Neodiprion lecontei: one gene and its partners. The protein of the gene in region 1 purifies or fractionates together with the protein of each later gene. This does not show direct contact. Links are inferred from orthologs where the notes say so. Each region holds a gene or a part of one and is shown in the gene's direction. Other genes may lie near its edges.

Region 1 (6,787 bases):
GACGGATCAAATATAAACTACTCTATGCAGGTCAAGCTTAAACTGCTGATATCAAATATAATATGTGAGAAATGTAGTTTAAAAGTGTTAAACTTTTTTTTAAATATTAAGTAATCAATTATTATCTATAAGCTTAGTTATTACTTAAAAACATCTTAAATTTCAATATTTGATCAAAAAATTTAATCATGGAGTTTCCACCACGAGAAAATAAAAATAAAACTTTCTGCTGCGTGTATGGGTGTAATAGCAAGTCTAGTAAGAACAATACAGTTCGATTTTACACTTTTCCTTCGGCAAATTCTAGTTTTGTAGTAATCAAAAATAAATTTGGTGAAGATGAAGTAATTGATCGTCGATTAGCTTGGATAAAAGCATTGAAAATTGGGAATGAGGTTACACAGTCAAAAAAAGTGTTTTCATTACATTTCGCCAAAAATGATTTCATACCAACATGTAAGTAATTACCTATAGAATTTCATTTCATAATTACTTGTTTATCATCAATATGAAATGATATTTTTTGTAGTGTAATATTTGTCAGAAAAAATAAAAAACAATAAACATTAAATTTTATTTTCCATTGCAGCCAATGTTGCGATATTGCACCCACAACTTCATGCGGTGGATCTTTTAAACGAGAAGTTTGGAGACAGAATGCAATTATTTTATACTCATTATCACAACTAGTATCTGATTGCTGTAGGCCACATTTCATTAGATGTCCCGCATCAAGTATATCTTTACCACCAATAAAATTTTTATGACTAGGCTGAGTATTTGCAAACTCACAAATTTCTTGTATTGAAATTTTCATATTTTATTGAATTTTTTTTGAAAATTCGAGTTTAATAACTGTAAATAAATACACGCTTTCACATAAGAACACGAAAGCTGATTTAAAAATGCGTTTTAGAATAGTTACTGCTTCTGCCGCAAGGAGAAGCCACGCCCCCGGCAGATTTCCCAATAGGCTGACAGTATACAGTTGCAGTATCCTAGGGAAATAAATGACGTCATAAATCGTCGTCATTTTTCTACTCTGAACACTGGTGTTTTCGAGGTAAGGTGCTATCAGTGCTTTGCTCACGTGATCAACAGCGTTCAGAAATTTAACAGCTTCCACTATTGATAATTATTATTATTGAATATTGTCATTTAAAAATACCGGTCGTTAAAAACAAATATGGAAAATTTGAATAAATTGTGTTTATTGCAGTGTGAAACAAATATGATGTATGAAATGAAAGTAACGCCAAAAAATGTCGATCACAGTATACTGTACTGCGTTCCGTTTAAACAGTAACCAGTATAGCTAACTATAAAGGACCGGCTTCGCAGTATACTAAATTGACGTCACACCTTACAGTGCTCGCAGTGTATGTCGGAACATACCCCACATGTATATGTAGCTCAGTTCGTTTTAGTTACACTTTTCTACACTTTTTTTACACTTACCCTGAATTTAGCCAATGGAAGGTGCCCTTTCCTAAGGAAAGTGTAAAAAGTGTAGAAATTGTAACTAAAACGAACAGAGCTATCAGGTTTGTTCGTGCTAGCTACACTCTACACTCGCGAGTGTAAACAGAACTACGGTAGTGTACTAGGGATTGCTGGGGAGGTACGTCGGCTTCTCGAGTGTAGCTAACACCCGTATTCATAGTCCCTCCTTATCTCAAGGATAAAGGACGCCTTGATGAAGGCTTCATTAAATCTCAGCGGCGTCCTCGTTTCATAGTCACAACTTGGCTCTCCTTTCCAGAAGGAAGACATATTTAGGGATATGTGATTGCTTATGGTGGTAAAACTGCTGATCGAAGCGCCACTCGGCTATATTTAAATATAACTTAATCCGCTTGGCTCTCATTGTCAAGTTGCGTCGGTTGATTTCACGTTTCATAGACCTTCCTCGACAGAGTAGCCGTATTGGCCTCCTTCTTTCAAGGCAGGTCTCGAGCTTCCTTGAGGAAATCTTCGGCACTGCGATTGGCTGTTTCGTTTCATGTAGCCAACGCTTGCGCTTGCGCTTGGCGTCTATGCACTTATGACCCGTATGACGCAGGATCACAGCCAGTCTACAGGTTAACTTCTTTGAGGTTATACACACTCTCATCACCGACGCAACTTGACAATGAGAGCCAAGCAGATTAAGTTAGATTTAAATATAGCCGAGTGGCGCTTCGATCAGCAGTTTTACCACCATAAGCAATCACATATCCCTAAATATGTCTTCTTTCTGGAAGAGAGAGCCAAGTTGTGACTATGAAACGAGGACGCCTCTGAGATTAAGGAAGCCTTCATCAAGGCGTCCTTTATCCTTGAGACAAGGCGGGACTATGAATACGGGTGTTATTATTTATAAATAGAGGTGCGTTCCGAAACTAACTGTTGACAAGCCTTTATTTCTTTTGCGCTGCCGAGTTCGTAAGTAGCTTTGTCTCTGCCCTAGGGGAGTTTTCAGCGCTACCAGCTAATTCCGGAACGCACCTATAAAATATTCCTCACAGCACTGCGAGCTAACGCATCGGAACCACGACTTTACATGTTTGGATCGGAACGTGATCGGAACGCATTCCTGGTGTATACTGAATACGAATTACCTATTTTATTGGTATTCCTATTGGTTAAGAACTAGGCAGCAGAAGTCCTTCCGCGGTATTTTACTGCCCATGAAAATGCAGACTTCGCATGAGAAAACGCCACGAAGTAATGAAAACGCTATCAAATGACAGCACAAGAAATCATAATAATGAAATAAACCGAACGCTTTGCCCGCCATTTTAATTGATCGTAGTAAATCTGTTATCACCCACATCCATGGTTATTACCTGTTCAGTCGATTCAGATTCTCTCTGCCTTGTGTGTGTCGGTCAATCGTAAATTTGTGAAGAAGCAAGTGCTTGTTTATTCGATCAGTATAAAAGAAGCAATATTTGTAAAATAGTGCGCAGAAGGCTGTAAGCCATGGATTCAATTCCACGAACCCACGAAGGTAGGTTTTGCAAATTAGACTTCACGCTAGCCGAGGCATGACCTGAGCTGAGAATGTTGAATTGATAACGTCGCGCCGACGAAGCTTGACAATATATTGTATTGTATTACTGATGATGCACACTTTCATTTCTTTGCATATTTTCGCCGAATATTTACACTCCCGGCACACACCTAAATAAGCAATATATCCTCTGTAAGAAAGTCAGCCGACATACACACAACACACCTTAAACAGTTGACGGTTATAATTGGTATATAGTTTTTAATAGTTGTATTACAGTCGTACACCGTTATGACCTTTTACATGCATTACAGACATCGAAGCTCAGATCCGTGAAATACAATCGAAAAAGGAGATACAGAATAAAGAGCTGACTGAAAAAGAGCAAGTAGGGTTGGGAAAGACTGGATTCTATGATCAGGACATATACGATGGTAGCAACAACAAATACGATGGTTATGTCACCTCTATTGCAGCTAATGACGAGGTTGAGGTAAATATCTATGTTTATTCGCAAAAACGGATTGCCAAACAAAATTGAAATAGTTTAGGTTGAATGGGGATAATGAAGAATTGAAATAATCAGGTATACGTAAGTCTGATCAAAATATTCTTTTCAGGATGAAGATTATGAACCAAGTACATTTAGTCAAAGCAAGAGGCCAGGCTACAATGCTCCGGCAGCGCTGCTTAATGATGTTGCTCAGGTAAATAATGGTTTACTGAAAATTCGAATGCCAGACCGTCAAAACTTGCAGTATAAGTAAACGAGTTTTGCTTTTGTCTCAGGAGGTCCAACAGGATTGTAAAAATTGTTCATTTTGTAACTATAGAGAAACTGTCCGTTTAAGATTTGAAATTGATCTATTTCATAAGTTTTCCGATACATTCCATTTGCCAAATTTATGGAGAGGCGGCGCAAAAGGGTTGGGGTCAATGAGGGGGTTATGTAACATCAGTCATATTGAAATAGTTGGAATTACTTAAATTGCAGGACCAAAGATGATACTTCCATTTATTTCAAAATGTGACTAATTTTTCATTTCCTGTATGACTACTCGTATTTAATTTCAATAACAAGTGTTATCTAATTATCAATATTTTTCACAATATTCCACAACCTGTTAAGAATGTTTCCTCTCCAATCTGATTTTTTTTTTAATTCATAGGGGTTTCCGCAATCGCTTAGAAGCACCTAATTCTACAAGGTTGAAATTCGTAATGTAAATGTAACAATTACACTTTGTAAAAACCATTAATTATAACTAGGGTTGTCGGAAATTCGGCCAACTATAACAATGCAGAAAACACTCATATTCTTCAAACTCAACTCTTGAAGTTATTTTAATATTGTAAAATAGTGACTTCGTGTTCATTGTTCTATTACATTGGCATTATAGTCGAACCTAGATATATGGCCTTGTCATGGGGCCCGAGAAGAGAAAAAATTCTCTATGAAAAAACTAAAACTAAGGGTTCCTCTTACAATCAAACTAAATCACATCATGCTATTTCTCCTTTAAAATCCATGATTATATTTAACAGCTGAATAATTTTTTCTTCAAAAGTATTCCTTTTTTTAGTTACGCATACCATGTCATTGAACATCTTTTTTCTTTAGTTATTGAATATTTGAGTTTTGCGAATATACTTTTTTTTCTATTAAATATTCACATGAACAGATTTCATCAGTTTGTATAGTACCAAAAAAAAAAATAAGAAATCTAAAAATATCAAGACTGTACAACTGTTTCACAATCCATAACTAAAAAATGATGTTCTGGATATGCTCCGTCTCCATGCATGCTTTCAAAATAAGATTTAGTCATTAATAAAGATATCACTATCTTGTAATATTGAAAAGACTTGAAACAGTTGAGTTCTCACAACAAGAGTATGATTTGCTTTATTGTGGCTTACTTAATTTCAGACAATGCCAAAGTTATGAAATAATAATTTATCCTGAAGGTTCATTGTTACATGATCGTTATCAACTTTAACTTCATCTTTGAGACACTGTCTCCAAGTGTGGCAGTTTTGCAGTGTAGTTGGATACTTCATCTGACTTCAAGTTTTTGGGAAAGTCATTTTAAGATACCATGTCATTCCTGATCGATACTTTTTACAATATCAATAAATTAAATGTTGTAATCCTGTTAAATATTAAGTAATGGTTATGTAATCACTTTCAGAATTTGAAAACTGAAAATATGAAGATATCAATGTTGACATTCATATGAAAAATTGCGGTATTAATCTACAAATGGAAATTTAGCATCTTATCAAAGTTGAGCTTACCTGGGAAAAATGTTTTCATATGATCAGAGAAAGTTCTATGAAATTATATCTAGAATTTGACCTGATGAAAATATATAAAACTATATGCATGTGATTTCACGTGATTTTGTATAATTTTATCTAAGTTAATATTTTCAAATTTGCGTTATAATTTCACATGAATTTATCTGATTATATAAAAACATTTATTCCCAGGTAGATAGAAAGTGATAGTTCAGTTTAATAACGATGCTCTTGAAAATTCAATTTACACCCATTAATATTATCTAATTGTAAGACCCGGATTTGCAGATTGCCATGTAAACATCATATCTAGACCAAGCATTATGTTTAGAAATTTTTTTACATTTCCTGGAAATATCTGTATTTCTCAAGGAATATTTCTTACATTTCAGTAGATACTCTGTCTTGCTTTATTTGATCATCTCCTCGTTGAGTGCTGAGAGTATATTGATACATTGAGATTATTGTAATTTGTATCACATAAACCTCCCTTCAGTTTGCCTTTTTGAAATAGATTTTTTGCTCATTTTGAATAGAGTGAAAAGGACTATGATCCGTTTGCTGATAGACGACGACCGACAATTGCGGATAGAGAAGATGAGTACAGGCAAAAGCGACGACGCATGATCATCTCACCAGAACGTGTCGATCCATTCGCTGAAGGTTGGTAGTATTTTTTGTAAGGCTATAAATTACATTTTAAGTACACTGCAGGTGATTTATATTTATACATTCTATACCCATAAGTACATCATACAACAATTTTATTTTTGTGACTTCATTTTCCAATATATTTTTTAATGCATCCCCTCATTTATTTACTTAATCAGATGTCTCAAGACTAATGCATACGGTTTACACAACCGTGAAGTCAACAATTGATCGGGTTTTGCAGAATTGTTCATTGATGGAAATGTAACATTTTTTTACATCTTACGCAAATTTGTCAGGCATCATAACTATCAGATAATTGAGTGGGTGGATTTAATACTTTAGCGTGCGTCGCTTCATTTACGTGCTTTCATTGAATACTGCTTGGTCGAGTTTAATTAATTTATCACTTTCACATTGCTATTGTTCGTACCTTTCATCATCATATGATAATTTGGGCAATTTCAAATCTTGTTGAAACTTGAAAATCCTTTTTCTGGTTGATGATGTACCATTGAATAAAAATGGGCCTATCTGTTTTCAAGCATGAAGATATTATCCAAAACTACAATCTGCGGCGTGTGACAGTAGGTTAATCAACTTTGACATTTCTTGCCAATAAATGTTTGGGAAAAAACAAAATAATGTCGAAGACCACAAGATCCCATGTTTGGAATCGTGCAGTAGCAATTAGATTTTGGATATTTCTTGCATGGATATAATTTGTATTACAAAGGATAACTGAATTATTTCATTTCAACAAAGTCAACCTTATCTCTGGAATAGTGAAAAGTCTTTCATTAGACTGTTCAATACCATCTTGAGGTTCCATGCATGTGT
Region 2 (9,183 bases), on another chromosome or scaffold:
CATTGTAATGTTTGATATCAAATAGCAAATTGTTAAGTTGTAAATTAATTATTTCACTCAATCGATAATATATTTCCATACACAAAGCGCCTGGTGATTGATTTGATTTGGAAATAAATTCAATGCCATTGATATAGCCGAAAATATCGCTAACAGCAGTGTACAAAACAAAGTGACTTTTGAATCGACACCACAGAGACAATGAATAGAAAGAAATTTATTTTTTCTCTAGTGATTTTAGTACTGCGTTTTAAACATTAAAGAAGAAAAGACGATCAAATCCAGCCCGAAACTACGGCATAGTACACTTACATGGGCAGTGAAGAGCGTTATCGAAGGGGAGAAAATTTTTATTTAACATCCCTTTTTTTTTCTTCTCTTTTTGTTTAACGAATGATTGTAAATGAATACAAATTACATGAATGTGTAGAAGCGCGGTGATGAAAAAAAAAGGAAGAAAAATTTAATAATAATATTGGTTAATGATAAAATAAGGAGGAAGAAAAAAAATATTTAATTAAATAAATCTTAAAATTAGAAAAGAACTTGGATTAATTTTCACGCTCAATTCCCTTACCCGATCGGGGTGCATTTATTTAATTATAATCACCCGTCATTCTGGCAATGATACATTTCAATGATATGCCACCATAGCTTTGTATGTTAAAATTGATACGAGTACAGAATTCGGTTGTGAATCGAATACATCTGCAAAAAGGTTACAAAACTGTATGCATGTGTTAAAAAAATTGCTTATCATAATATTTTGATAAAATCGCATTTAGTAGCTTTCTGAATAGCAATTCATCTGTAAGTGTTCGTCGTGCGTATAAACATCCATTTGATACTATCTTTGTTCACAAGCCATTGACAATATTATTGAAAAAAATCAGCTTAACTGGAAACCTATTTATTTTATATGTAAGATTCATAATATCGCTACTAATATCGTCTTAGTTGACATTACGATAAACAACGTCTATTATTATCATTAATATCATTAATGCTATTCTAAATATTGGATCATCATAGTTTAATGTTTCTTTGTCTTCGAACGAAGATGAAAAAAACATTTTAACTTGGACAAAGAGTGAAAATTGTGTACACCGAATGGTCTTTTTAAAAGAAATTGTTCATATTATTTCCAGTAACGTGTCATTTGATCATTTGCGGACTACTTCGGCTTTCAGTCTGGCTGCGAGAGCCTTGCGAACTTGAATTTTCGAATCTTCCATCAAGAGTTGCGGCGACTCCAAGTCCTGCATGCCCATCATCGACGCCTCTGCTACCACTCGTGCCGATCCGGGACGAGCCGCGTTTGTCTTCAGACGCTGACTACGAGCCTCCTTCTTCATTGAGACCAGCTTGTCTCTCTGAGTTTTCAGGTATATTTGGCGCTTCCTAATCTCCTCCTCACCAGCCTCGAAACAGAAGACAACATATAAGAAGAAGAAAAGAATGAGGCTTCAATTGTCACTTCGAAAGTTGATGTCTCCACTCACATCGGACAGTTTGCTGCGGCTCGCCGCGGGCAGCAGTGCAGGATCCAAACTCTGCTACGAAGAAGGAACGAATTGAATTTCAATAATGCATGGTATATTTCTTACGTACTTTTCTGTCACTGTTTTTTGTCACCAACTCAATTTCTTCTCCTATTTTATCTTCGCCTGGTTTTTTCAGTTTTTGCGGTATCGGTTGCAAAACGCCAAACTTCTTGGATTTCAAAGCTGTGTTTGTCAGCTGGAGAGGTTCAACGCTGACTACTTCTTCCGTTTCTCGTCTCTCCTGCTCTGGCGAAAAACCCGACGACGATTTTGCCAATGGTTCTTCCATCAGTGCTCGCTCCAGCAGCTGTCTCTCCGTCTTGTACTGTGTCGCCAAACGCTGGTGCTCCCTACGCATTGCCTGATCCGATTCCTGCTCCGTATTCGTTTCATCCTCAAGCTTGTACTGTTTCCTGAAATTGAAACAAACTCGTCGTGACCTCGCAGCCTCACGTCCATCATTCTTAATTTTCAATCTACACCCACTGCAGCAGCTCCTCCATCACCAGTTCGTCCCGTAGACAGTCTTCATCACATATTAGCGACGCTGGAGTCAGGCCGTACTTCTGTTCAATCAAACTCAGTGCCTGCAACTGGAGTTCCAAGTTCTTCTGAATCATCATCCTCTTAAATATCTCGTACTCGTTTGCAGCCCAGATCTGCTCGAAGAGACTCTGCAATTGCGTTTTAGAAGGTTTTATAATTTTTAACATTCTCTATCTCGTTTTGCATCGAGAACTATTTTTACTCTGATAGAGAAGAGAAAATACAAGTGAACATCGAGTGTTCGTTCACCTGCTGAAACTGTATCGGCATTTTTGTGTTCTTGTTTAATGTACAGGCATGCTCAAACTGCTCGGGAGTTATGCCCATGTCCTCCATGTAGCAGCCAAGGAGAAGATCTACCAGGTTTTTATACTCTTGGTAGATGTGGCGATACTCCTCGCTGTCCTCCGTCTCACCGTCGAAAACTAAAAGGGGAGCAAGAGGCGTAAAATGAGTCAGGCTAATCGATAGACGTAAGTAGCATTGAATTCTTTTAATGTAATGGCAATCCGATAATTCTTACTCAGCGATTTTTCTTCTATGAAAGTTAACAATGGTGCCGACCAGATCGGACCCTGCAGAAATCCCACCAGCGAATCAAACACCCAGGAACTGTCATCCTTTTCACTCATAATTATTTTTTTTATTCAGACTTCTCTATCAACCTGTCACTACCGTAAAATTTGTCATCAGACTTCTGTAATGTCAGGCTTGTCGCCATGGCAACAACATCTAAACATTGGTAGTGAAACGTCGCAGCTGACACAGTAGCAGTGTTCAAATCGGAACATTTTGCAATTTCTTGATCCGGAGGGATATTCATTAAAAAAAAAAATATGTAATTTAGAGAATGCAATTTTTTCGGTAAATGCAAAACATCGACACTTTGTCAAAAGAAATGATCATGAATAATTATTATAGCAAGAATATTTGTCATCCAGTTATAATTATTTAATTGTACGCAAACTCATAGATGAAACTTAAAAACAAGCTTGAAGCGTTACCGGTAAAAGAAATTCTTTGATGATATAATTAATTAGTCATATTGATTCATTTTGAATATTTGAAACATGCATTTTGTTCAAGATTCAAAAATGTCTGGTCGTTCTTCCCGCTCCTTACAGGATTCCGATAAAATAAAAAATGGCGACTATAGAGCCAATCAGATGACGAAAAAAAGCCGACATGGCCGACGACTCGCGATTGGTTTTTGTTTTCCCGCGAAAAAACGGGGCCTCGTCAAAGTTAACCTAACCTGACCTGTTGTTTGTGCATGTTTCGCGTTACAATAAAAATAGGCGTCTGTATAAAAGACTTGTAGTTAGCGAGCAATAATAACGATGGAGGGGTTTGATCGGCCAGATACATTCTTTGTGGAACATTTTTCGACCGAAGAACCGGACGATGGAAAGCAGCTAAAATTAAAACAGTGCAAACAGAAGTTCAAGGAGTTTATCCGGCAATTTCACGAGGGCAATTTCAACTACAAATATCGGTAAGCTTTCTCAGCTAAAATCATACATCATACGTCATATCATGTTATAATATCATATCATCATATCATATCATATCATACATCATCATACATCATACATAGTATATTAAATTAAAATTCGGAATCAAAATTTGGATATTCGGTTGACAAGCACTCCGTAGTTCTGGCTGTCCAGGTCCTTGACCTGGTGATTTTGACCAAGTTTTATCATTGTTGAATTTTTTTTAATGATTTTCGTCTCAATTTAAGGGCATACCGACTGAGATGGTTTGCGATGTATAGAATTCATTGCACAGTCGTAGGTTCTTACGTCTATTCAGACGTATCCGACCCCGAGCGAGCTTTAGCGAGCGAGGGTTTTAAAGCTAGTCTTGAATGAAGATGATACATTTGCTCGATCGAAGATTTGCCAATAGTTTTTGTTATCGTTAGTTAATTTCGACGTCGTTTGCAGGGACGCCTTGAAACGGAACTATAATTTGGGTCGGTATTGGGTCGAAGTGAATCTCGAGGACTTGGCTGCATTCGATGAATCCCTCGCAGAGAAAATATATAAACAGCCCCTTGATTATTTACCAGTTTTCGAGGAGGCTGCCACTGATGTTGCTGACGAACTCACCGCACCTAGACCTCAGGATGAAGAAAAGGTCGAGGACATTCAGGTTCTCCTTTCATCCGATGCAAACGCTACTCCTTTCAGGGGGATGAAGGTACGCGCATGTAGATTTATTTCAATCTCGTGCAAAACGGTGGTCTTCTCAATTTCAACGTTGAATTCCAGCAAAGACGATTGTGCTGCTGTGTTTTTTCTGCCACTAATACAAACATCTGTTATTTACAGCACGATGTTGTCTCCAAGCTCGTTAAAGTACCTGGAATCGTAATATCTGCGTCAGGAATCAGGGCAAAGGCGACAAGAATCGCGATACAATGTCGAACCTGCAGAAACGTCGTGCCTGACATAGCCATTCAACCAGGCTTTGAGGGTTACCAAATGCCACGGAAATGTAACACGTTGGTATTATTTCCTTGATCGCGATGAAGATAATCTACCTAACTCGAGTAAAAAGCAATTCTAATCATTTATTTTCATACCAGTCAGCAGACAGGAACAGCCCTAAAGTGCCCGTTGGATCCGTACTTCATAATACCAGACAAGTGCCGATGCGTCGACTTCCAGGTGCTAAAGCTGCAAGAATTACCGGACAATATTCCCCAGGGTGAAGTGCCCAGGCACTTGCAGCTCTATTGCGACCGCTATTTGTGCGAAAGAGTTGTGCCAGGAAACAGAGTCCTCATACTCGGCATTTATTCGATAAAGAAAATCGATAAGACTGGAGGACGACGCGAAACAAGGAACAAGGCAGCAGTAGGCGTTCGAGCGCCGTATATCAGAGTCGTGGGGATTTCCGTGGACGGTGACAACACTGGAAGTGGTGAGCGGTCGTTTAATTTTACCTTATTCAATTCTGAGCTATCATCTGATATCTTTCGTCACCTCATCAGGTACGCAAGCGCCGTTTACCGCGGCCGAGGAGGACGTGTTTCGCCGTCTGGCTGCCGATCCTGAAATCTATGATAGGATATCTAGAAGCATTGCGCCGAGCATTTTCGGCGCTGAGGACATGAAGAAGGCCATCGGCTGTCTGCTCTTCGGCGGCTCGAGAAAGAAAATGCCCGACGGCTTGTGCCGCAGGGGCGACATCAACATTCTCATGCTCGGCGATCCTGGAACGGCCAAATCCCAGCTCCTAAAATTCGTTGAACGCGTTGCTCCCGTCGCCGTTTACACTTCAGGAAAGGGTAGTTCGGCCGCAGGTCTCACCGCGTCCGTTACGCGCGATCCATCGACGGTGAATAGCTTTCAACAGTACCCCCCCCCCTTTCTTCCGCCTTTTTTTTTTGTACCCTAATTACAGCTGTTGATCGATATTCCTTAGAGAAATTTCGTCATGGAAGGTGGAGCGATGGTGTTGGCCGATGGTGGAGTCGTCTGTATAGACGAGTTCGATAAGATGAAGGAGGATGACAGAGTCGCGATTCACGAGGCGATGGAACAGCAAACAATATCGATAGCGAAAGCTGGGATAACGACGACCCTGAATTCGCGATGCTCGGTTCTTGCCGCAGCCAATTCGATATTTGGCAGATGGGACGACACCAAGGGCGAGGAGAACATCGACTTCATGCCTACCATATTGTCCAGATTCGACATGATCTTTATTGTCAAAGATGAACACGATCAGGCCAAGGATATCACACTGGCTAAGCACGTGATGAAAATACACACCAACGCCGGTCAGATCACCGAGCAACAAGCTGACGGCGAATTATCATTGAACCTAATCAAGAAATACATTCATTACTGCCGAACGTGAGTGCTTCACATACTTTTTCGAGCAGAGTTAAATTTTCGTAATCGTTTTTTAACTACTAATTGATTCATAGGAAATGCGGCCCAAGAATAAGCAAGGAAGCTGGCGAGAAGTTGAAGAATCGTTATGTTATGATGCGCAGCGGTACTAGGGAGCACGAAAAAGACACCGAAAAGCGACCGTCCATACCAATAACCGTTCGTCAGCTCGAAGCCATCATCAGAATAACAGAATCTCTTGCTAAAATGAGGCTACAGTCGTTTGCCACCGAAAATCACGTCAACGAGGCCCTCAGGCTCTTTCAAGTGTCGACGCTGGATGCTGCCATGAGCGGATCTTTGGATGGTAAGTTGCAAAAAAAATTTAATTGTATTTAACATGTTTCTACTTAAATTCGCGCTTGTTTAGGAGCGGAAGGCTTTACAACGGACGAGGAGCACGAGATGTTGACGCAGATTGAGAAACAACTGAAACGGCGTTTCGCTATCGGATCTCAAGTGTCTGAGCAGAATATCGTTGCTGATTTCACCAAACAAAAATATCCCGAACGCGCAATCTACAAAGTTATTCACACGATGATAAGACGCGGCGAACTACAGCATCGCATGCAGCGAAAAATGCTCTACAGGCTTTCTTAAACTACACGCCATTAGAGAGATGCACACAGGTGGTAAATTTTTTTAATGTTCGTTTTATTTTACAGTTCATTTTTATTACGGCAAGATTCTGAACTGACTATTTGTTAATGGTCCAACTCGTCCTTAAACGGGTAATGCGGATGTTTTTCGACCCTGAAAAAAGCAGGTAACAAGGGGACAAGTTGATGACGGAAATCAAGAAGAATCTTCGAATTGAAAAAAGTTTCACTTTTTTCTACTCACCCCTTGAAGAACAGAAAGTGAAAAATTCTCCCGTCCACACCGCGATCCAGCACGTCTAGCGAGTTCATCTCGGTTTGTGTTAGTTCGAAATCGAATAGATCGATGTTTTCCTTGATCCGCTGGGGACTGGCACTTTTCGGTATAACAACGACGCCCGCCTGCACAAGGTGGCGCAGCAAAACTTGAGCCGTCGTCTTGCTGTGAGCCGCGGCAATTTCTTTAACGACCGGATGACCCAGAAGATCGGGAAACTTCTCCGCGTTGTAATTGTACTTTGTTTGAAAATGAGTTTTCGCTCCGGGTGAGGCCAGCGGACTGTAAGCGGTCACCGCGATGTTGTACCCTTTGCACAGCTCGCGCAATCGCTTTTGTTGCTGATAGGCGTGGAGCTCGATCTGCGATTGAAATTATAACGGATTTTGTTCTTTGAAATTATAATATATTTTATTTCTGTTTTACCTGTAAGTTACTTGGTTTTATGTCAGCATTATCCCAAATTTCCGTTAATTGTTTATCATTGAAATTGCTCAATCCGATCGATTTTGCTCTACCATTTTTAACCTGTTTTTCCATTTCCTGTGCAAACGATGAAAGTTATTTTGAGAATTCACGGCTTGATTTTTTCTTACATCAATCATTTCTGTTACCTTCCATACAGAGACGGGGTCCGTGTTTAGATCCAGCTTGTAAAAACCGTCTGGATCAATCGTCGGAGCGTATCCATTGGGGTCCTTAACAAATGCAAATGGCATGTGGATCAAGTACATGTCTAAGTAATCAAGTTGTAGCTTTTCCAATGACAATTTGATGAACTTCTCAACGTCGCCTGGTCTGTTTCCGTAATGGGGGAGCTGCAAAATAATTTCAAACTATGGAAATATCGAAGTGGCGTAGCCGCAGACGTCCATGAATGTCCCGTACTCCGTATGTATTTTCTTTTCTATACTGAATGATATCTTGTACTTCATAAAAAAAATTAATCCGAGTATTCAATAAACGAAACAAGATACTCAAGAGATTCACACTTTTGACGTAATGAAGAGATCGCGACGTTGACCGCCCTTGTCAAACCATTTTTTCAAGCTTCGTCCAATGGCCTCTTCATTATTGTAATTGAAAGCCGTGTCGATATGCCTGTACCCGTTTTCCAGCGCGGCTTCGACGGCCTTTTCAATTTCCTCGGGCCCTGACTGAAATATAAATATTTTTCGGGACTGTTATCAAATTTTATGAAATGATCAATTGACGATCTTTAATGTTTTTAGACCACGTGTCGCAAAATTTTTTGTGTTACAATTTACCGAGAAGACGTAACACAATCACCTGCCATGTCCCAAGTCCGACTGTCGGAATCTCGAAGTTCGATGACAATCGTATATTTTGCATCGCTGTTACAGCCGCCGGTATTCCCTTCGAATAATGCAGTGATAGGACAGCGGATAACCCGATTCCAAGTCCGGAAGTATTCCTCCTGAAAAACGTGTTGCATAACTCGATTATTTTTAGCCACGCTGGGCTTGTGCAAAAAATTATATGTATGTCTGTTCAACATAGGAGGGTATGCAATTTAATTTGTACCTAAATCAATAAGCGTTTCAGCTCCGATTTAAATGACGATGGACAGTAGGATCGGTTAATCACCGTTTTGTTGCCTGCGCGATTTACCAGGCAACGATTGCGATTTATACCGGTTACTAAGTATTGTTTAAATAACATTCAAACTACGTTGATCAATCTGCTTGTTCTATCGCGGATTCTGCGTTCCGTTAAGCGCTATTTTTAACCATCGTAAAAGTTTGATGTTTGCGTTTGACTAAGTTTTGAAATACTGGCGCCGCGCCAGTCCCTGACGTTTAACGGTTCGTCACGTCGACGACAGATGGCGGGTGAAACAAATTGCACTGCCAGTCTTGCTCTGCGCCGTGACTGGTTCAGGAAACACGCTTAGCCAATCATAGTACAGAGCATTAGGTGCTACTGCCATGGGTAGTGTTAAAAAAGCTCAATGATATATCAGCGAGAGGGAAAAACTGCGAATTACGTAAAGTTTTCTTCAACGCGTGAATTTGATTTTTCGTTTTAACGGATTCGACAATAGCAATTTCAATTGGAAAACAAAGCGAGACGCTTGAAAAGAAGTAACCAAATTCGGATCGTACACACCACATTCTGTTCGAGATGCGGTAAATCATCGTCAGCTATTCGAAAGAACCTTCGCCAAGACCCAACTCCCGAGGTTATGTTTCACGTCATTCCGGCTTGACTGGATATCCTCTTTGAAATCAACCATGTCGAACTTCAGCCACTTCCTAAGGGCACATCGGTTCGAAATCATCGCTTGC
Region 3 (7,047 bases), on another chromosome or scaffold:
CTGTGCAAAAAATATTATGTATTCATAAGAACTTACATAAGTTGGAGGTAGAATCTTTTACACGGAATGTGAAAAAATATATTATAAATGGTCAGTTGAAAAGTGGGTCTATCGATAGAACAATTATTGCATATAAAAATATAAAAACATCAAAGCTATGGTAACAATTATAACAATGGAATTCCATGTTAATGCTATCCGATATTCGAACACATGAAATTATATACTATGACTCTTTCAGAACATTAACTAAGAATAAAGGAGCTGAAAATTTATTAAATAATTTAAGATTTAGTTTTCATTTATTGAAAAAAGGGCCCAATAGTTCTTCTTGCAAGTTTAAATGCTGTTATTCTTCATTATTTACAAAAAATGGAATTAGTTAAATTTTCAACTAGTTGTATAAAAATACATTAATGGAGAGAGAATATTTTAATCGATAATTCAAAGATTCTACCTTTATTGATATGTAAATAATTTTAAAATAAAACAATTATATCTGCTGTAATGATATTTTATTCGGTGAGATAATTTGAAATGGTTCTTCATTGGATTCGAATTTCAGAACTGCATAAATCAAAACAAGTGAAACTGCTTCAAGCTGAACCCTATGGACATATTTACATCCAGGAGTATTCTATGTACTAAACAAATTTTAATGGCATCCTCTACCCTGCATCGTGCTCTGCAAGTTCTTGATCATAATCAATGACTATTTGTGAATGATTCATTCGTCATAAAATGGATATCTATGCAAATTATTGTCCACATTCAAAGGTATATCAATATAATTGATATTTGCTTTTAAATTTTCACTAATTATTTAAATTGACTTATTTATTTTTATTTAATATGAATTTGATAATTTGACAATATCAAATTAACTTGAACTGCAACTAATTCATTAATTGCAAATGGAATATCTGACCTATATAATTTCATTTAATATACTGTCTGTTCTTCAGATCAAGAATTAATTTTAACTGCCAGTAGGACATTCAAATACTTATGAGAAATGAATTAACTTTTTAGTTATTTATCTAAGAACGTATATTCGAACATACTTTTTATTTCTGTTGCATATAAGTAATTTTTGGTACAAACTGTGGCTGTGTTATAATCATAAACATAAGAGTGCTGAACTTGTATTTCTTAGTATTACATAACAACATATATGTAATTTGAAAGCACAGTAAAAATTTTTTAATAAATGTTTGAGTTTTATTTTCTGTTAGCCTCATTGATGCAACTATTCAAATAAAAGTCTAGGTTTATTACTTGACGTGCAAATCTAATGGCAGGAGACACGTCATTGAACAGGTATATTTCAAATCCTCATTCAACATTCATTGAGTGAAAAGCATACAATCCGATCATGACTGAGGTGTATGCCACCACGGTAATGACCTCCACACTTGCACCACCAACTAGCTTGTTGCCAGATAATTATCTGCGTTGATTTTGTGCTTTGTTTCAAAGTTGCGCAATCGAACATCGAACTATTAGACACGTTTATGTATAGCTATTCATAAACCTACACCACGTGTCAAAAATCAGAATTTCCTATAAAGTAGTCACATGATAATCGATTTGATGGAATCTTTTTAAATTGATGAATCAGTTACCTAATTTGATATTTAAAAATTGTGAAAATAAACACATACAAGGCATCTGAAATATTGATACTATGTTAGTAGTTATTGAAATTTAATCACGTGAAATTGAGGTTGCATATATAATTTTGATTTCTTATATAACAGGTGCATTATGCAAAAAATTATGTATTCGTAAGAACTCACAAAAGTTGGAAGTACAATATTTCATATGCAATGTTAAAAAAGTAGATTGTAAATGGTCAGTTTATAAGTGGGTCCATAGATGGAACAATTAAGCACACTGATCATAAAAGGGCCTCTCCTCGCAAAATTCGGTAAAAGTATTGTCCACAGGCAGAAAGCGGGATGAAAATAAAGGTGTCAAATAAAAACATAAGAAATACCATTAAGTAAACCTGTCAAAAGTCAATACTTTTGGCTAATATAATTTTTTAGCCTTTCTTTAAAACTCCTTCACGAGAGGATGGATTTCTCATAAACTATAAGACCTGACACAAGATATAAAAAAAATTTATAATCTACATGTATCCTATTGTTCTGGAAGCACGCAGGGGCTTTTTTTCAATCTAATTTTGTAGAAATGGTGCACGTTTGAAAAGAAATGAGTAGGTTTTTGGCCAATCAATAAGCAATAAATTGAAAAAAAAACAAAATTTACATTAAATAAAAAAACGGCGACGTAATTCCATATAGAATGTATTGTGAAGCGATTGTCAAAATTTCAAATCGATCCATACAACGGTGTTCAAGTAATCTGTCCTTCCACTTTGAAAAGTGGTTTCGAAAAAATTGCGTTTAAAGTTTTACGAGCACTCACGATCAGCGCGCGCTCCGATACACTGTGGCAAAAACGAGAATTGAAGCTTTTAACATTTTTTTTTCACTATAGGACCAACTGGATATTGTTTTCATGACCCCAAAGTATTGTTTAAGCCGAATATAAAAGAAATCGAAATTTCTAAAATCCGAGACTGGTGTTACTGCTTAAGAACGTGATAAACCGATGACAAATATTCTGATCAAAATGAATAATTCGGGGTAATATTTTCTCGTATCTATTTTCTCGGGTTTTGTTTTTACGAGAATTAATCCAGTCATTACACAACAAAGTATAGCGTCCGAACCCTATGAAACTGTCGAGTGTGTCTGATGCAGCGATCTGACTTCTTTAGGCGCAAGGACATATTCCCGAAATATTTGTCATGACACGGTTGACTCTTAATTAATGCATTGAACGATTTGAAAAATTCTGAAACGGCCAAACGACACATTTTGTCCATGTCAAAGCTGGCTGGTGAAGGCGACAACGAACTATATTATACACTTACCAAAGTGGAGAATCTTCCATTTTTTCTGAATCCATTTGTTTAGATTCTGAAGTTTCTTCTAATGATTCCCGTATACGTAATCTTACCGAACTCACAGAGCGGACATGAGCAGACCACTGAGCAGACTGATCGGCAGCCGTCCAAATCCGCGCTTGGTTCCAAATTAATTAAGTCTATGGTCCCAAACCGCGGCCAGAGAGAATAACTCAGGAAATAGCCGGTAGATCGCGCCGTCGTCGGCCAATAGACGCATTACGTGTACCATCTGGCAACACCGTGCGGCAGCAATGTAAGCAGGAAAAGTAAGCAGCATCGCCGCAGCCATTAGCCATGTTGTTAGATTGACTAGTATCGCAGAGTCAACTGTTGTTCGCGAATGTGTGCTGAAACGAAATAATCGTACATATTTTGTCGCTAAAAATATCATCGACTGGGTACGTTTCACTCCACCATCTAAAATTATATTTTCTAGTGACTCAACGTCATTATGCCGTTTCTTCTGCAACTTTAAAATACAGGTTTACTGTTCCCGAGCGTACACAACGCGCAGCAGGCCTTTCGCCCTCGTCCAATTTCAGGCTTAGCAGCGATTGTAACAACCGGCAGAGATGATGTACACGGTGAGATCTTGCGCGTATTTTTCATACAATATCACATCTTTACATTGTGTGTTATCTTCACTAACTGTTTTTGCATATGTATTTACAGGGGACCACGGCATCGCAGGATACGCGGTTCAGCGATAAGGAGAAGAAATTGTTGAAGCAGATGAAATTTGGTGATTCTCTAACCCAAAAGGTAGGGTTCTACTTAGCAATTGAACTTTCCAGATCCAACTAAAAATATATTAGTATTTCATAATGGGGTTTCATTCGAAGCCCCTCGTGAGTGACTCGCCACTTTCAGTCAATTTTCACAACTGAAATACTTTCCGTTAATATTTTAATGCTGCGGACGTGTCCTGAATTTTTAACCGATGTCCGGACAAGCATAGATCAGTTGAACTGCAGTCAAAGCTTTTATGAATTATTATATTCGGTTGCAATCCAAATCCAAAACATACACATGAAGTAAGAACCATGCTGTCAATGTCTGACGCGTTTAGAGTGTTGTGAAATATACATGAAACGCAACTCCCTTGCAGCACGCGGCACTTTTGTGATATTTTAACATATTCACATATTCACTCTTATCAATAGTCATGTGTCATCACATCTAATGAACCTTTATTCTATAATGACGATCTTACTGTCAAGCCAATACTTGTGTATTTTTTTCATCCGGTTTCTTAGGATTCATCTCTAACCTTTCTTTTAGTAAACGGACAGTAATTAGTTTCAATATTTCGTCTTTCAATACCATTGCATATCGGTAATGTATTTTGAATTAATGTCAACGAATCATGTGTAACGTCACTTGGTACGTAGTTTGCTAACACTGAAAACTTAGTGATTTTCTTGTCTCTACTTGAACAGGACATCAATAAATTATAGGGATGAAGTTGGTAACATTACTGTAACGATGCATGTTTAGGATAAATCATTACTTTGCACCTTTAGGAATGTCTGAAATGTAGTAAACTGTGATCAAGTAAACATACTCTTATTTTAAAAAGCCAACTCCTTCAAAGTTATTCTAAAATTGCGCAATAATGATTTTTTTCATACGTTAACGTTACTAACTTCAACCTTGTAATAAATTACGTTACTAAGTTCAACCTTGTACTTTATTAGCTGTGAGTAGGTTACTAGATCATTTTATTTCAATCAAAAGTGAATGATACGGTACGAGTATTGAAAAAAAATAATTTCAAATTACAGGTAGACATGAGCAAAGTAAAATTGGACGTTATTAAGCCCTGGATTACTACCAAAATAAATCAGATCCTTGGCATGGAAGATGATGTAGTGGTTGAGTTCGTCTACAACCAGCTGGAGGAAAAGGTAAGAACATTTAGAATATCCTTTTTGTTTTAAATCGTTACTTATTTTCTTTTTGATTTAAATGGATAGAATGGTCTAAATAATTGAATAAGCAGTTTGTATACTCGGCTTTTTCCCCTCAGCATAGAACATTTACTTTGACACACATTATCATAGATATAGTCCGGACAAAAAGATATGCGATCACACTCAGCTGCTCGTACCAATGAATTATGTGCACTTCATCTTGACAGTTACAAAAATGTCAAACCGATAATTGTAAGGTGTTTTTCATTAAGTTTTCAATAACTTCAACGAAGAAATTTGGCTCAGTAATTCTGTTGGGTGATAACTGAATTATGGTATGCAGTTTTCTCAATAATTCTGCTGTACACAATCATGGAGTTCGATAAAAATTGCAAGAAACGCTTGGCAATGGCGATGGCGATCACATGTCTAGAATGTTTCCTCAAAGAAATTTGTCCAATGATGTATTTCCACATCTCAAATATGAGTATCTCTGTTTCTGTTTCAAAACACCAGTCATTTAATTTTAAAAACATACTTATAACGCAGAAAAATAAATTCAGGGCTCAAAGAACAGTCTTTCTAGTAAATATTATACAAATACATTGGTTTTTTCTTCCAATTGAGCGTAGATTCAAAAAATAGTTGAAACAATCAGTCCACGTTATAAGATCTTTTGATAAATAGACATGAGGTTGATGTTTGGAATATTAATATAATAATACATTATTTTTTTTTTTCAAAATACGCTATTCTGTAACGTTGGGATTTTTTGAAATTCAGTACATCGTAAGGCAAAATTTTTCATACTTTGGAAACTAAACTTTTTCGAAGTCAATCTACAATTGCAACCTAGTAATCTTTTTTTCAATGTTTTGTTACAGTAATATCACTGACTTCAATCTTGTAAATTTACAGTAGTCTGTCTGATATGGCCCCTGACCAAGAGAATTACTGCGCAATAAAAAATAATAATTGTATTATCATTGATAAAAATCAGTTTAATGATTTGATTACTTTTGTTTTGATTTTTATTGTTCAAATCAACTAAAACACTCGAACTGTGAAAGCATAAATCCATATTTCGGGTAAAAGTCCCACATATCTTTGGAATGAATTCATCGTTTATGTAGCACCTGATTTGATATGAATGTTTCCAGTTCAAGAATTTTATCATGGATTACAGAAAACATTTTGGCAAATACTTTATGATTAAAGTTTCGAAGGGTTTAAGTTGTATGATTTTAGCAAATTTGGTTAGACTTGTTTTGTACTTTTTTGATGCATCGTCATTTTGTGTAACTTCAGAATTGTCCTGATCAAAATTGTCATTCATGTCTGAGAAACCTAGAATTGTCATATTATTGACAATAAGATGTAGTTTCGCACCTTCTAATAGCTTTAAATTCTTAAATTTGCTACTATTACAATGAATGAATCTTGGGATGCTAATTTGGTGTTGAAACACTCATAAACATCCTACTCATTGGTCAAACAATGCATTTCTTGCTCAGCAAGGAAAAAATGAAGCAGAACGTATTATTGCCTTTCTGAAGGACGTGAAATTTATTTATCGCAACATCATCATGTAACAGCCTTAATAATTAAATTTGGAAGTATCATTCCTTCTATGTAATGTAGTGATCTTAGCGGTAGATTTAACAAAACAAAGCAGACTTTGACATAAAAAAAAAAGTGAAGTGCGTAGGTGAAAATTGTTGAATTGCACTATATATGACAAGTCTTATCACGTCTCTTTGAATTCCCCATTATTATAAGTAGAAACCGTTGCGGGGGCTCAACCCTTTTGTCCCAATGGCATTCGGATGTGTTCCTCTCTGCATCCGATTGGCCGCCTTTCTATCAACCGTCAACCATAGCGTGATCCGTCTTCTACGTCGTACCACATCGCATCAGCAGCTAAGGACAGCTGCCGCAGTTGCCGATTCTTCACCATCTAGCAACCTCCGCCTTAGCGGAGTCACCATTCCCCGTCATCGTCACCCAGAGACCAGCTACGTTTTTCTACTGCAACATCTTGTCCGTGCGAACGAGTTCCTCATCATCCTGGAGAGCCTCAATCAAGGCTTTGCGTCATGTTGACGCGTGCACCACCTCTTCGTGGAAACCGAGTTGCCTCTTCCGAGGCAATTC

What was found. Proteins that work in one complex are often made in the same cells at the same time.
Region 2: the proteins of splicing factor 3B subunit 1 (region 1) and DNA replication licensing factor Mcm5 purify together in Homo sapiens (affinity purification with mass spectrometry; 4 studies listed by BioGRID and IntAct, with this or other methods). This does not show direct contact. The link is inferred for Neodiprion lecontei from reciprocal best matches to the Homo sapiens genes SF3B1 and MCM5.
Region 3: the proteins of splicing factor 3B subunit 1 (region 1) and serine/arginine repetitive matrix protein 1 purify together in Homo sapiens (co-immunoprecipitation; 3 studies listed by BioGRID and IntAct, with this or other methods). This does not show direct contact. The link is inferred for Neodiprion lecontei from reciprocal best matches to the Homo sapiens genes SF3B1 and SRRM1.

What each region holds. Positions count from the first base shown.
Region 1 is NC_060262.1:17,196,682-17,203,468, forward strand, and holds the start of splicing factor 3B subunit 1, read left to right. Parts: upstream 1-2,741; 5' UTR 2,742-2,964; coding exon 2,965-2,992; intron 2,993-3,309; coding exon 3,310-3,488; intron 3,489-3,615; coding exon 3,616-3,702; intron 3,703-5,832; coding exon 5,833-5,959; intron 5,960-5,981; exon of another isoform or gene 5,982-6,787. UniProt on the Homo sapiens protein: Component of the 17S U2 SnRNP complex of the spliceosome, a large ribonucleoprotein complex that removes introns from transcribed pre-mRNAs.
Region 2 is NC_060266.1:1,281,726-1,290,908, forward strand, and holds DNA replication licensing factor Mcm5, read left to right. Parts: upstream 1-3,263; 5' UTR 3,264-3,430; coding exon 3,431-3,585; intron 3,586-4,039; coding exon 4,040-4,295; intron 4,296-4,426; coding exon 4,427-4,599; intron 4,600-4,683; coding exon 4,684-5,021; intron 5,022-5,091; coding exon 5,092-5,438; intron 5,439-5,525; coding exon 5,526-5,959; intron 5,960-6,033; coding exon 6,034-6,305; intron 6,306-6,368; coding exon 6,369-6,598; 3' UTR 6,599-6,627; intron 6,628-6,631; exon of another isoform or gene 6,632-6,702; coding exon of another isoform or gene 6,703-6,751; intron 6,752-6,841; coding exon of another isoform or gene 6,842-7,236; intron 7,237-7,300; coding exon of another isoform or gene 7,301-7,417; intron 7,418-7,488; coding exon of another isoform or gene 7,489-7,692; 3' UTR 7,693-7,857; downstream 7,858-9,183. Other genes in the region: cilia- and flagella-associated protein 36, read right to left, coding at 1,164-1,421, 1,503-1,556, 1,612-1,957, 2,031-2,218, 2,340-2,515, 2,614-2,722; 1,5-anhydro-D-fructose reductase, read right to left, coding at 6,703-6,751, 6,842-7,236, 7,301-7,417, 7,489-7,692, 7,867-8,031, 8,165-8,312, 9,005-9,033. UniProt on the Homo sapiens protein: Acts as a component of the MCM2-7 complex (MCM complex) which is the replicative helicase essential for 'once per cell cycle' DNA replication initiation and elongation in eukaryotic cells.
Region 3 is NC_060260.1:24,701,494-24,708,540, reverse strand, and holds the start of serine/arginine repetitive matrix protein 1, read left to right. Parts: upstream 1-3,221; 5' UTR 3,222-3,378; intron 3,379-3,462; 5' UTR 3,463-3,552; coding exon 3,553-3,564; intron 3,565-3,652; coding exon 3,653-3,742; intron 3,743-4,764; coding exon 4,765-4,887; intron 4,888-6,672; exon of another isoform or gene 6,673-7,047. Other genes in the region: uncharacterized protein LOC124293066, read left to right, coding at 566-648. UniProt on the Homo sapiens protein: Part of pre- and post-splicing multiprotein mRNP complexes. As a component of the minor spliceosome, involved in the splicing of U12-type introns in pre-mRNAs. Involved in numerous pre-mRNA processing events.